Ovis aries: one gene and its partner. The main gene of each other region encodes a partner of the protein of the gene in region 2 in a complex. Links are inferred from orthologs where the notes say so. Each region holds a gene or a part of one and is shown on either strand. Other genes may lie near its edges.

What was found.
Region 1: SPAG5 (region 2) and KNSTRN share a complex: the UniProt entries of both Homo sapiens proteins name them as parts of the astrin (SPAG5)-kinastrin (SKAP) complex. The link is inferred for Ovis aries from reciprocal best matches to the Homo sapiens genes SPAG5 and KNSTRN.

Annotation. Positions count from the first base shown.
Region 1 is NC_056060.1:34,208,911-34,212,724, reverse strand, and holds part of KNSTRN (small kinetochore-associated protein), read right to left. Parts: intron 3,093-3,814; coding exon 2,963-3,092; intron 2,311-2,962; coding exon 2,266-2,310; intron 1,428-2,265; coding exon 1,322-1,427; intron 1,152-1,321; coding exon 1,058-1,151; intron 1-1,057. UniProt on the Homo sapiens protein: Essential component of the mitotic spindle required for faithful chromosome segregation and progression into anaphase.
Region 2 is NC_056064.1:19,981,617-19,985,430, forward strand, and holds part of SPAG5 (sperm-associated antigen 5), read right to left. Parts: intron 3,761-3,814; coding exon 3,622-3,760; intron 915-3,621; coding exon 803-914; intron 637-802; coding exon 550-636; intron 287-549; coding exon 166-286; intron 48-165; coding exon 1-47. UniProt on the Homo sapiens protein: Essential component of the mitotic spindle required for normal chromosome segregation and progression into anaphase. Required for chromosome alignment, normal timing of sister chromatid segregation, and maintenance of spindle pole architecture.

The DNA of each region.
Region 1 (3,814 bases), on a different chromosome or scaffold from region 2:
AGTAGATACAACAGAGTCAGCCGTGACTAGGGAACTACAACTTAAAATAAAAAGCCCTCCACAGGAGTATTCATGAGGGAAACTTCTCTGAGGGTCTGGGCCTGGACACTTTCTCCTGAGCTTTCACCTTGGCAGGGTCCCCCATGCCTGCTCTCCAGAGCTGGATTTTACTTCTCCTTCCTCTCCAGGTATGGATATGGCCAAAACTTTCTCCTCAGCTCAGCAGAAAATTTGTCCAAAAGAAATGTATAGGTTTTAGGTCTGTTTACAGTACATAAAACTATTTATAAAATCTCTATAGGCCTTCAACATTTTTATTGTAAAAACAATGCATACACATAGGCAATTAAAATCACGCAAAAACGTGTGTGGTGACTATAACGAATATATCCTAAAATGCACTATTTTAATGGCAGCATTCAAAATCAGTACTCTAATTCAAAGAAGCCGGGGCTCCTTCCCTGGGCATCCTCAAGTTCCTCAACTCAGGCTCTCTGACAGTCTCTGGGTAATCCCTTCCACTGTTTCCTCTGTTACAGACTGCCCAGAATCCCAGGGACAGGGGAGCCTGATGGGCTGCTGTCTATGGGGTCGCACAGAGTTGGACACGACTGAAGTGGCTTAGCAGCAGCAGCAGCCCTCTAGGGACAGGGTAAGAACAAGAATCACATCATGACTCAGAGATTACTAGCCAGCTTCAGAACCTTTTCAACAGTATCCTCTCTCTCTCTCCACCCATGAAGATTCCTTGTGTGCCATATCCCTCGAAATAAAGAAGATATTTCTGATCTATTTGCAAGATCAGCATCAAAAGAATGGCATAAAGTGTTCAGGTAAGAAAGAGATAACCCTCTCTCCACAACACCGGAAATACTTTTGGGCAGGAAGAGTCAACATCACCCGAGACTAGAGAGGCGCTCCCTGAAATCTTCAGGGCTTTACTAGGCAACCCCTGCCCTGCCCAGGTTGGCTTGACACCATGCTGAACTCCTGCCACACAGCCCAGAACCACTCAGGAAAGGGCACAGGCACTGACTCCTCTGAAGGCAGTTCCTACCTGGGTTGAGGCCTTTGCTTTCTAAAATTGCCAAACAGTTGTCCTGAAACTTCTCCAGCAGCTCTACTTTTTGAGTCAGGTCCTTCAGCTCTCCCTGTTGGGGTGAACATGCAGACAGGGCAGGCCCATCCCATTCCTTGCAAACAGCCACAGCACAAGCCCAGTGGCTTTTCTGGCTGCTCTCAGGACCACCTGGTGTGGTCCCTCAGGAGTCCACGTGCTTCACCAGGGCAGCTGATGGCAGAGGTCTGGTGGGTCTCTTACCTGAGTTTCAATCAATTTCTGGTGCAACTGCTTGTTGACAGCCTCTAAGAGCTGGTTCTTATCCTTGAGCTCTTCTTCTGATTTCTGTTTACTCAATGGTTTGTAGCTGTAATGACAATTGTACTTAGATAAAGAGGTGGAGGGGTTACGAGTATGGGCTATGGAGTTACACAAACAGGCTGGTTCAAATCCTGGCCTCATCACATAGTGGAATACGACCTTCAGGGAGCTCTGTAGCCTCTCAGGTTGTTTCCTCATTTGTAGAATTAATACCCTCACCTCATATTATTATTATTGTGAAGGATAAAGGAGAATATACATGCAAATTGTGACAGAGCTACTGACCCATAGTAAACTTTAGTCAGTAATCGCCATTATCATCATCAATACTGAATCTTTTTAAAGTTCTCTGAGTCTGTCTTAATAGTATTTTGTCTTTAGAACTTTTAAGACATGCTCAATAATAGATGTGGAATTACAACCTATTTCTACAAACTTTCTAGCTTATATTATTTCTGCCTTCGGGACTGAAATGGCCAAGCAAGCCTCAAGCATAGAAAGATGCAGTTTTCTCCAAGATTTTACCACCAGCAGTAGAATACTCATTTTGAAATCACTAACACATGCAGCTTCTCCCATCCTGAGGCTTCCTGCCCTTGTTAAAGGGCTATCACTGGGTTTAAGCAGTGGTCCTGGCGTGGAGCCCCCAAACTCCTGTCTGTTGCTCAAGATTGTCATATCACCGACTCTTGCCCTGACATTGGGTCTTAGGCCTGGCTGTGTCTCACCCCTGAAAACTCCATTCCAATTTCTGAGGTGGCACCAGACTCCAACATGGTAAAACAAGTCCCATGAGTGATTCTGAGGTACAACCAGAGCCCTACTCTGTATTAAGGCCCACTACCCTAAAGTGGTGGCCAAGTTTTCTTTACCCTGCTGCTCACCTCTTCCTGAGGTTCCTCCTGGAGGTGTCTGTAGCCTTCAGCTGCCTAGAGAAGCAAAAACAAATCAGGATGTTAACTAGCCTTACTGTGGTGATCATTTCACAGTATACACAAATATCAAATCACTATGTTGTATACCTGAAACTAACACAATGTTATATGTCAACTATATCTCAACTGCACCACACACTTTTGTTTCTGCCCAGACTATTGAAAAAGGCTTATGAATAGGGAATGGGCTCCCTTCCTGACCGGTTTGACAGCCTGAGAGACCTGCTCCTGCTCAGAATGGTGTGGCTACCTCATGTCAATCTGACTCAGTGGGAGCTGAGCACTTCGGGAAAGATACACACACTATGCCAGGCTGGCCTGTGCTCACACTAGCAACTCAGGCTCACAACTAGCACCCACCTGCCACGACTACCACTTAGGGCTGGGGTTTGGCTGCAGTGCTGCTATTTGCACATGCAAAGCAAATGCTGAGAGAGGAAGAAAGTACCTATTATAACCCTGGCTGCACCTCTTCTGAGCTATCAATACCGAGGGTTCTGAAAAACAGCTCAGCAATGCTGTGATGCTCTGGGCCACTGACTACAGGCCAATCCATCAGACACCTTGTGCTCTGCAAAACCCTAATTCTTGGTACTGAGCAATTTCTAACAGGAAGTTCTATTTGGATACTGATGTTCTGACTCACCCATTCTCTCGTCTCGGTTTGATGATTTTTGTAACATCAGTCTCTGAAGCTCCTGAATGAGGTCTGGAAACATCAACTTCTTTGGACTTAACAGGTAACTGGCTCTTAAAAGTGGCTCGAGTTTGTGCATCTGCAAAGGAAAACAAACGGGTGAAACCTCACATATCATGACCAACAGCTGCCAATTCTATAAATCCTGAAGAATAAGACTTGTAGACCAACTGGGAATAGAAACCAAAATTCTTTAAATGTGACAGTGCAGTGTTTGAGGGTGGCCAGAAGTTTGACGATATAGCAAACCGAATGGCCAGAGGGTGGAGATTCATATAAGCAAAGATCACAAGAGGCAGTGTGGCTGCCAGCAAGGCAAAACACAGCTGAACCCTGCCTCATACAGCAATTCAATGGAACTATCTCATTCTGCTCTTAAGCACTTTGCCTGCTCCCCTAAGCTACATGCAAGCTGTTTCAAGCTTCAGCTGTTGCTTAGTTGTTTTGACCAGACTGGCTCACTAACTAGTTCTCTAAGACAGTGGTCCCCAAACTTTTTGGCACCAGGGACCAGTTTCCTGGAAGACAATTTTTCCTCAGACCAGGGGTGGGGTGGGGATGGTTTCAGAATGCTTCAAGTACATTAATTACATTTATCATGCACTCTATTTCTATGATTATTACATCAGCTCCACCTCAGATCATCAGGCATTAGATTCCGGAGGCTGGGGCCTCCTGCTTTGCAGATGTCTTTGTACCTCAGCATCTAGGAGAGTATCTGGCATATTAGCAAAAATTCAAAACCTGCTTACTGCCTAAACGGAACATGTCAGTTTCAAAGACCATCTCTAAAGTAGCTTC
Region 2 (3,814 bases):
CCTGATGCTGTTCTTCCTGGGCCTGCAGCTGAGCCTGCAGATCACATCTAAGGGAGGGAAAAATTCAGTATTATTCCTGCCCCCACCAGGAGCTGGCTGGGCCCTTGACATTAAGGGGCTGCTCACATGACCTGCCCTCTCTCACTAAGACTGCACTCCACTTACATCTTTTGCTGCAGAGTCCTGACAGCCTCTTCTTTAGACTCCTGCAACAAGGAACACAGGCTCTGAAGTTCCAGAGTCTTAGTACCCATTTCTGCCAGGCTCTTCTCAATGTCTGGGCTTTCTGAAAGAGAAAGTACTAGATAAGAGGCAAAGCCCTTTAGCTCCAGAAGGAAGGAGTACATAGCCATCACTTCTTCCACTCTTATCCATGTTCCCCACCCATAGGATTTGAATATCTGGAACATTACCGATCCCCCAAAGGCAGAACTGAAATAAGCCCAAATTGAATTGAGGTTTTTAGAGCAAAGCACTTCTCACTGCTTTAGCCTTTATCATCACAACCAGATCTAGAAATGAGGCAGGATCCCTGGAGCCCATCCTAACCTGTAGGCTCAAGGGAAACTGTTGATGCTACTCTGGTGAAAGCACTCTTGTCACTTCCAAGCAAGGGCACAGGAGTGGATTCTGGGTCTGAAACAAAAAACAACTGTGGCAGAGGGCCCCTCTGGTGGCCCCGTCAAGGATCTGCCACCACAGAAGCCGGGAGAGAAGGGGTCTGTTGGCAGCATCTTCAACAGCTGAAGATACCAGGAGCAGGGTCCCAACTTTCCCACCCTTCAATTCCAGGGCCTTTAACCTTCATCTGCCTCTGCTGTCTGGGCACTTCCCAAGAAGGTGCTGTCACTGGGCGGAGGGTGTTCCTGGGAAAGAGCACTGGCTGTGCTTATCGGGAGGGTCTCTGGTTCAGCCTGAGGGCAAAGGAGAAAAAATGTCAGCTGCTTTTCAGGGTTAGTTGAGTTCCCTGAACTTACAGGTACTCACTAGCCATCTCCGTGGGAATGCTGTTCTATCACCTCTCTTCTCTATCTTCAACTTTTCCATTAGTTCCTCTCCCTGAACTTAATTCTCTCTCACTAGAACAGTAATTTTTTTTTAAAAAGCCTTCTTTTTACCTTAAGTACCCTTTCAGCTACTGCCTTTTCTCTTTCCCTTCAATTTAAATAAAAGAAAGAAAAGATTACATTTCTTGCCTTAAATTCTCACCATCTATGGAATCCCTGGGCCACTACACACAGGATTCTGCCCACCATTCCACCATTGTTGGAACACCAAAGGCATCCTCATTATTTTGTGCTCCAAGGGCAGCCTTACTTTCAAATGCAGTGGACTCCTTTCAGATCTTATTTCACCTGACCTATGTAATAACCAATGACCATGTTCTATTGGAAATTTCATTTTCTTAGCTTTTGTGACATAACTTTGCTTCACAGGTAGGACTCATACCTTTCTGGCTATTTCTTCTCTCTGTGCGGAGGTCTATCTTTAACTGTGGGCTCCTTCTGGTTCATACTTGATCCCCTTTACACTCTAATTCATTCCCCACATGGCTTCACCTCAGGAGCTCCACAGAAGCATCCACTTCTACACTGATGACCCTTCAATCTGTCTCTCTACAACTGGACTTTTCCCCAATCTCCTGGTCCAAAGGCTCAACTGCCTGTGAAAAATCTACCAGATTGCTCCACGGTTCACCTGAAATTTACTATGTATAAAGCTGAGCTAACCATTTTTCCTGCCCCACCCCACTTGTATTTAAGATCCTAGAGCAGGGAGGCAGCAAATTACAGCCTGTGGTTTCAATCTGGCCTGCCACCTGTCTTTGTAAATAAAGTTTTATTGAAACATTGCCACATCCATGTATTTACATACTCTCTATGGCTGCTTCTGAGCTACAAAGGCAGAGTTGAGTAGCTGAGACAGAGATCACATACCTCGCAAAACTGAAAATATTTATCACATTGCACATTACAGGAAAAGTCTGCCAATCTCAGTTCTATAGAGTGTTGCCATCTTTCCAGCAAAAAAGATCATCAGTCACTCTTTCACCTTACTCCTATATCAAACTGGTCACCATATTCTATTACCTTCTGTTGTTATGTAATCACTAAGTCATGTCCGACTCTTTTATGACCCCACAGACTGTAGCCCTCCTGGCTCCACTGTCCATGGGATTTCCCAGGTAAGAATACAGGAGTGGGTTGCCTATTTCCTTCTCCAGGGGATCTTCCCAACCCAAGATCTAACCCACATCTCCTGCATTGTAAGCAGATTCTTTACTGCTGAGCCACCAGAGAAGCCCTCTATTACCTTTACTTCCTAAATATGTATTGAATTCATTCAATCCATCCCCTCCTCCATATCCCTTCTATAATCGCTATTAGTTCAAGTCTTCAAAAATCTGGCCTCCTGCCTACTTCTCCAGCCTCTTCCCCTTGTCATCCCTGCCCCACATAGCTTCTATAATCCACTTATAAAGGGCTACTTCCCAGGCCCCAAACTCACCACATTCCATATGAGCAGAGCCTTGGCCTTGTTCACCTGGTTAGCCCAGCACCTGACCCAGGCCTTGTCACAGGGTAGACACTACAAAAAGTACCCCTAATGCCTCTATGACTTTCATATGCTGTTCCTTCTGCCTGGTGGGCCTTCCTGTATACCCACCCCTGCTCTACAAACTTCTAACCTCAAGACTCTGCCCAAGAATCACCTGCTCTGAGACGACATCCTAACTCTCAAAACTAAAGCTGATGCTCCTTTCTCTGTGGCCATACAACCTTCTATCACAATCACAAGTCAAAATGACATATTTATATCTGTCTGTCTTCCCAAGACTAGATTTCTGTGCTTATCACACGCTGGGGAATGGGGTCAGCTCATAAGCAATTTGATTTCAGGATTCTGGCTCTGCCCTTAACTGTTGAATAAGCTAATTAACTCTGCAGTCTGAAAGATATCCACCATTTACTCTGCAGTGTGCACTGTGGGGAAGCCAAAGAAGCAATGCTAAACTTCTGCTTGCTATAAACACAGTCTAGCAGAAAGACCAAACATCCAAGGAAAATTAATACAAGTGCAAAAGGAGAGTAAGCTCATGAGAAATACAGCAGGAGATCACTGAGTCCACTGATGTTTGGGAACATTTCAAAGAAAGTGAACCAGAGAGGATTTTAATAGGAAGGAAAAGACATTTCCAGTTTGAAGACAGAGGAGAATGAACATGGTAACAGCCTGCATCCAGGTAAGAATGGAAATGAGATGTGTGTGTAGTGTGTAGGCAGTCTAGTGGGAGTAAAGAGCTCATAATAGGAAAGAAGGAGACAGACAACAGGCTGAAGATATCCTGTAGGCAACTGAAAGTCACTGAAGGTCACAGAAATGGAACAGTATTTTAGGAAGACCATTCTATACAATAAAGATACAATTGGAAAAACCCTCAGTAAACCAAGATTAGAGGGGAACTTCCTCAACTTGAATCCTTTTCAGCGTTGTGGGGGAAGTTCTAGCTAATGCAGTAAGAAAGGGAATAAAAGGTTTACAGACAGGGAAGGAAGAAATAAAACTGTCTTTATTTGAAGATATGACTGTAAGGGAAGAGAAGGAAACCCCGTATCCCACCTTCTCCTTTAGTTTCGTCTGTAGGAAGAGGGTCAGGCTATGGAGTTGCTCCGTCAGCACCCCCAGCTCTTGGGAATACTGGCACATCTTCTCCAGGTCTTGCTGCTGTGTTTCTGCTACGATGCTGGCTAGTTTAACCCTGAAATAGGAAGGATATAAGGAATTTTAGCCTTGAAATAAGGAAGGGCTTCCT